2 linked regions of the Drosophila melanogaster genome follow. The protein of the gene in region 1 interacts with the protein of each later gene in a biochemical or structural test. Each region holds a gene or a part of one and is shown on either strand. Other genes may lie near its edges. The genes, in order: Nedd8 and Den1.

Region 1 (3,256 bases):
CTTCAAGCTCAGAAAAGATCAAACGAATTGGGTTTGACCAACTGCGTTTTTTACCAATGCAACATAGATTACTTTGTCGGAGGATTCAAGATCGGGGCCTCTTTGCACGCGTGTGGAACGGCGACAGATATCGTTTTGCAGCAGTGCCGGAGAGCCAAGGCACATTTTGTTTGCTGTCCTTGCTGCTACGGTTCTCTGCAGCCCATGCCTCACATTTCGTACCCATTGAGCAAAGCGTTCCAAAAGGTGTTAGACACAAAGGACTACTTGTACATTGCCCACTCGGCAGATCAGGCACACGAGATGGGGACAACCAACTGCAAGCCAGAAACCACGCTTCAAGGACTCCACTGCATGTCCGTGGTGGACACCGATCGCCTGCTGCAGGCGGAGGAGGCGGGCTACCAGGTCATTCTCACACGCTTAAAGCCCGAACAGTGTACGCCAAAGAATCACCTGCTAGTCGGACGTTTTGTTAAACAGAACTGAACTTACAATCTGCCACTGAGACAAAATAAATGCCTTTTTGATATGTTTTAAACCTTAGCCCACCATTGTGGAGTGTTCTTCTTTTTTTCGAATGATTTAGATGTTGGCTTACAAAAAAACATGTTTTATTACGGACCCGGTTGGCCCCAATCCATTCTGTCTAAATTCCTCCGATGCGAATACACTTTGTTTTCTTCTAAACCACTTTTAAGACTTCTTTTTAGTTTACATATATTAATTCTCCATATGACGCTTCTCAAGCTTAATATATTTGAGTGAATTTTAAATGAATGTTTTCCACTTATGAACACGCTAGTTACACACAAGGTGTTAGGATTGAATCACCTCCTCGCAGAGCCAATACCAAGTGAAGAACGGATCCACCTTGCACTTTGTAGTCCGCCGCGGTTTTATCGTCATTCCTGGGGGGGATCGCATGCGAAATAAGCTAAAATCAATGACCAATAGCCAGAAAGACTCACATTTGCTTGCCGGAGAAAATAAGACGCTGTTGCTGGGGCGGAATGCCTTCCTTTTCCTCCACGCGCTCCTTGATGCGATCTACCTTGTCCGTGGGCTCAATGTCGATCTCGATTTCCTTGCCGGTCAGGGTCTAATGGAAAGATAATACATATTTACATTAATAATCCAGCCACACATATATTGACTGTAATATTCGACGATTTTGTTGTTGTTCAAAGTGCCCGCTGGGCACGATGGCTGTGATTTATCTTTATCCTACTTTTTTGCTACTCCATATCTTCCACACTAACCTTCACTTTGATCAACATTTTGTGTGTATTTAACTAGGCGCTCCTGTACAAATTCAAAATTGCCGAAATTTTTGCAAATCTCCACAGCTGGTTCTCTTTTTTGGCTGTCACTTTCGGCGTTGGTACGACTGGCAACTATCGATAGTACTGTCGATGACCATCGATTGTTTTCCACACTATTACAAATATAGTATTTTCTCCATCATTCCATCTCTACACAATTCACGTGTAAAAAAATACATTTCGAAAAAGGAGAACTTAATTTATGTAAATTTTTTGTAGCTTGATTTATAGTGTGCCCATTACGGTTAGAAGTCTCACATATTTAGAATTCAAATTCTCCTTAAATTATTTTACTCATGAGATGCAAAAATCCATTGAATGCCATTACTACATTTTTTAACTTTTGAAAAAAATGGAAGGCGTCACTTTTGAGGGATTTGAATTAAGAGCAATTTGTTTATTAATGTTTTATCTCGGATCTTAGAAAATTAAAAAGTATTTTTTTGTCTTTTGTCTTTTCTGTTTTATTAAAATAAGTTGTATGCCTTAATAACTAAATACATTTATTTACAGTACTAAATGGATAACTACTTTGTTCTTTTCGAAGGTACTGAGATCCCCAGCTTAGAAGTTCATCCCTATGAGAGCTTCTTCAGTTTGTTCCAGTCGCGAATGGCCTCCCCGATGTGGCGTATATCCCTCGCATAAGTGCGACAGCATCCCCCAATGACCTTGGCCCCCAGTTGCGCCCACTCCGGAACGTAGTTCGCCAAGGGCACACAGTGCTCCCTTCCCTGCCAGCCGTTGACCACGTCGTATACCTCTCCGCTATTGGGGTACACCACCAACGGTATCTGCTCACCCACTTCGCGGTCACCATTCAAACTCTTAAAGAGCGGGGTCACAAACTTCGGATGCACACAATTTACTCCGATGGCCAGGCACTTATCCTGGGCATTTCGTTCAGCCAAGAGGTCCCAAATAGCATTCGCCGCGTCCGCAAAGGTTTCTCCATGCGCCAGGGTATTCTCATCCTTGCACTGGAAGGCCACCCAGAACTTCACATCCGGATAATCATCGCACAGCATCTCCACCAGGGCCTCCGCCTCCATTTGACAGGGAATCGTCTCGATGGCCAGCGCATCCACACCAGCCTCCAAGCACGCTTCGATCCTCACGCGATGCCAGTCCGTAATCTCCTTGGCCGGCACAAAGTCGGCATAGCTACCGGTGTACTCGGAGCCATCGTGCAGGTGGGCCCCAAAGGGTCCAATGGAGGCAATGATCAAAGGGTATCCTTTAAAAACAATAAATTGGAATATATAATTGGTAAATATTACTATATATAAAATAAAGTATTAAAGAAAGTATTAAAAGTAATGACCCTACCACATCATTCACTTGACCACAATCTAAATTAATCCCGCCCGAGCTGGACCTCATGGATGTCAACTTACCCTCCTGCACCGACAGCTGCGCCTGATAGCACTCGGTGAGATAGCGTTCCTTGGCGATGTGGGCCAGGCGGACCGTGTTCTTTATCAGCTCGATGCTCTGCTCCTCGTCCAGCTCCAGGTACTCCATGTAACCATCGACACTGGACTGGTAGGTGTTGGTCAAAATGATATCGGCACCATCTGGTGTTGTCAAGGGGAAAATTCAGTTAGTATGTTGCCAATTGCTACCGGAAAACAATTGCTTACTCTGCAAAAAGTCCAGGTGGGTGCTGATAATGGCCGCCGGATTGGTGGCATTGAAGCGGGCACTCCATAGCGGATCCCCATCCACAGAGTCACCCACATGGACGGTCATCTGGGTGCCGAAACCGCCATCCTTCACCAGCACGCGCGTCAAACCCATGATTGAAAGATTACTAAGAGGGGTGGAGGATGATCCGTTGAAAATTGATTATTAGTTACATTTCTACGTCAGCGGGCTGCGAGATAATTAAATATGTATATTGCGTCTGCCACCTGGATTCCACTGCACTC
Region 2 (3,912 bases), on another chromosome or scaffold:
ATCATGGATAGTGCACAGTGCAAGCACGGATCTCCCAAGTACGATCATCTGGTGCGCAAACGAAATGAGCTGAGGGAGGAGTTGCAAAGCCTGCTGGGCGATAATGGTGTGCTGATCTATCCCACGCATCCCACGGTGGCTCCATACCACAATGAGCCCATTACGCGACCCATTAACTTTGCCTACACTGGTATTGTCAATGTGCTGGGCTTCCCGGCCACCGCTGTGCCGCTGGGCAAGCTGGGCAGCGAGGGTCTGCCACTGGGTGTCCAAATCATCGCCAACTTCAATCAGGATCGACTTTGTTTGGCCGTTGCCGAGGAATTGGAGCGAGCCTTTGGCGGTTGGGCCAAGCCCGAAGTTCGGCTCTAGGAGCAGTCTCAAACGTGCAAGTATGCAGCTTAGCTAGCTTTTAGATAGTAGTGGTCAGGTTAACGTCCTGGTCTCCCCCCACCCATTACTAACTACCCCTACCCACCCGAGCATTCGCCTGGCGATGAAAGGTATTCCTTGTGTACTCCAGTGCCTCATTGTAATATCAATTTTCGATGTGGATTTATCTATTTTGTATGTGTTTTTAAATGTAATCTAATCATAGATCCGCGCGGATCCGTTCCCGTTTTGCATTTATAATAAATAATTGCAACCAACTGATATCTTTGTTTTCATTAATTGGCGACAGGCGCCCATTGACCAAACAAGCAGAGAAGTCAGAATTCTGAATTCGAAGCCAACGCGTTTTGTGGCTAAACAAATCTTTATTTTGAAAGACCAACCTTAAAAATATGCCGACTCACCGCCTCAATTGCTTTTAGTTTGCTTTTGTTTTTTAAACATTTTCATTCGGCAAGGAAAACTAAACCCACTACAACTAGCGATATCATGGATATCGTATTCACATATGTAATTCCGATGCTCCTCTCATTCTTCGGCAACGAGTTACATTCGTAATTTGGTCACTTAAAAACTACTCGGCTGTGGGCGGTTCGGCAGGGCAATCCTCGCTAGCCTCTAGCCCTTGCCGCCCAGCGACAGGATGAGTTTCAGTAGCTCGGTGCGCTTCGCCTTCACGGTGTCGATGTGCAGCGACGGCAGTCCGTCGATCACCTCGTATCTGTTTAGGTAATCGGCAATGTGGTCGGTCATGCAGATAACATGGATGCCACAGTCGTAGCCGTTCGCCTGCTGTAGGCAGCGCATGGGCCGGAATTTGGCCATTCGGACGCCAAGCAGGTCCTTGATCTTGTTCATCAGCTCCAGGGAGTTGCCCGTGTTGTTGTTCCCATACGAATCGAAGTGATAGAAGGTCTTCTCCGGACGCGAGAAGACCAACAGTGACCAGTGGCTGCCACCAGCATCGGTGGTTTCGTTGTCGTTCAGCGCGAAGAAGATAAAGGGCTTGCCAGTGGTGTTGCTCTGGTCGAGAAGCTGCTTCAGCTCCTGGTCGCCCATGTACTTCATACACTGCGTAATCTCCGGCGCAATGAAGTGCAGATCCGCATTGGTCTTGTACTTCATGTGGGCCAGGTATTCGTAGTAGAAGCTCAGGATCTGGTCGTTCAGCCAGTGCGGGCCGTGGAGCAACTGGACGTCGGACATCCGCAGGCAGGAGTCGTGGAAGGTCAGCGAGATGGGGTCTGCCTTGGAGTTGCTGCCCATTTTGGTATGGAAGCTATTGTTGGTGAATCTGGGGCGCCGGCGATTCGTATTCTGGTTCTGGCGTGTATGTTGCCTGGAATGAAAATAAATGGCAAAAAATTGATTTAAATCATGTTGTTGCGACTAGATTCGTGTTGTTCCAGCTGGCGACTATCACCTAAGTATTTTCCTATCGTGGGGCAACATTTTCACTAACAATCTTCGCGAAAATTCGGCTAAAAGAATAAAATTTTTCCGGCGACTAATACAACTCCAGGGTTTCAAAGTCAACGCAGGAATGACGTTTTCGGTTTCCTTTTGCTTTTGCTTTCCCTTTCGTTTGCCGGCCGGTACTGTTGTTATTGTTGTGGTTTCAAAGCAATCAGAAATCAGTCATGCCAAGCGCATTTTAAGAACACTATAATCGTATTTTAAACCAAAATAAACATATCGAAATTAACTAATCTTCGTACAAAGCTGTTTTGTTATTGTCTTTGACAACGAATGGGCGTAGCAAAACAAAATAGAGGACACTGAGGAGGTGAAGGTGGTGGTCAGATCCCCACATATATATTTTTTACTCACCACGAAAAATGGCTACTCCTCCTCCTCGAAGTCGCGACCTCGCTTTTTGTCCGTTCTTTGGACACTCCTCGCGTATTACCATTTATTTGGCTGTTTGGGAGCAAATAACTTGAATTTACCAACTGATATTTTCACTAATATAAAAAGTTACACAACACTCTGAATAGTTTTTCCGCTTTTCCGCTCAAATAATAAGTCGCCGTACTGTATATCTTACTTTCTGGCTTGGGCTGCCAGACTGCTCGCTAAATAGGTGGCAGTGCAGACTGTGAAATGCAGTGTTGCCTAATGTGGCAAAGTTATAAAAAGTAATTTAAATATGTATAATTTAATTACAAATATTTTTTATTCCTTTTAAAAAGTTTTTTGAATTTATTAAGTTCACATTTTTAACATTTCTTGCAATCTGATTTTTTTTTTTTTTGAATTTATTAAGTTCACATTTTTAACATTTCTTGCAATCTGAATTTTTTTTTTTTGAATTTATTAAGTTCACATTTTTAACATTTCTTGCAATCTGGCTTATAATTTTCAGGGCAAACTTGCTTTTCGGGTATGTTGAAACTCGCAGTGGTATTAAAATTAGTTTGGCATTTAGTTTCCGAAGAAGTCTCGCTGGATTCTGGAAACGGGGCACATCCTTCGTCAGGATTCCACGTACCCCCTCGCAACTGCTCTTCCAACCACTTAAGTTGCTTGTTTATCTAGAAAATTACAATTCTTTTAAGCGTTTTTTTTTTCATTTATGTAAATATGCAAACAAAAATTATTGCCTTTTCTACCATCTCCTCGTCTCTTTCGCTTCCAAATAAATTGGCTGTAAATTGGTAGATATTCGATGGCTTTGCCTTAACCGCCTCGGCTGTAATGACCCGAATTATGGCTCGGATCTCTGGATGGCGTTGTAGATATGTCCAATCGTCCTTGCGCATATTTCGGGAAATATTTCCAATAGTTTCATAAAATTTTGATACGTTTTCGTTAATGTTTTTAGCATGACTAGTATTTTCCGTGTTTTCGGTTTCCTCAGCGCTTGATGTTTTCGTGACATCCATATTCACTTTGCCAGAAAAATGTATATTTTCAAATTTTAATTATTTTGAAGTATTTCGTTCATTGGTGCTTGTGGACTTAAAACTCAACGAGTTTTCGATAACCAACATTTTGTACAAAATAGCCAATTCCAAGCTTAAAAATAAAAAATAACCCAACTCCGTGACAATGTTTATTTGAACATTGCCGTGACCAGGATTCGAACCTGGGTGTGGTAACCCACAACGTGGGGTCCTAACCACTAGACGATCACGGCTACATTGGATTGCGCCCAGCAATTCCAAGATCCCACCACGTCACCTAATAAAAAAAAATTGCAGATGTAATTAGTAAACACTACCCCAAATCAAATAGAAAATCAAATAATAAGATTAGCAAAAACATGTTTTATCATTTATTTATATATCATTTCAATTTGTTTAATAATTATTTTCATTTTCATCAAAATAATTAGAGTGTAAAAAAATACCCAACTCCGTGACAATGTTTGTTTCAACATTGCCGTGACCAGGATTCGAACCTGGGTTACCACGGCCACAACGTGGGGTCCTAACCACTAGACGATCACGGCTACATCGGGTGATGCGAGGTCTATGCCAAATGACTAATTTTAGCAAAGTGCGCAGAAAATCATAG

What was found.
Region 2: the proteins of Nedd8 (region 1) and Den1 form a complex in vitro, tested with the Drosophila melanogaster proteins (one study listed by BioGRID).

Annotation. Positions count from the first base shown.
Region 1 is NT_033779.5:18,950,436-18,953,691, forward strand, and holds Nedd8 (Nedd8 ubiquitin like modifier), read right to left. Parts: upstream 1,403-3,256; 5' UTR 1,281-1,402; coding exon 1,263-1,280; intron 1,103-1,262; coding exon 972-1,102; intron 912-971; coding exon 806-911; 3' UTR 571-805; downstream 1-570. Other genes in the region: CG10428 (uncharacterized protein), read left to right, coding at 1-489; CG10621 (uncharacterized protein), read right to left, coding at 1,904-2,562, 2,723-2,902, 2,969-3,125. UniProt on the Drosophila melanogaster protein: Ubiquitin-like protein which plays an important role in cell cycle control, embryogenesis and neurogenesis. Covalent attachment to its substrates requires prior activation by the E1 complex Uba3-Ula1 and linkage to the E2 enzyme UbcE2M.
Region 2 is NT_033778.4:12,336,353-12,340,264, reverse strand, and holds Den1 (deneddylase 1), read right to left. Parts: upstream 1,966-3,912; 5' UTR 1,846-1,965; coding exon 1,817-1,845; intron 1,733-1,816; coding exon 1,012-1,732; 3' UTR 721-1,011; downstream 1-720. Other genes in the region: CG8839 (uncharacterized protein), read left to right, coding at 1-372; CG34021 (uncharacterized protein), read right to left, coding at 2,724-2,927, 2,997-3,278.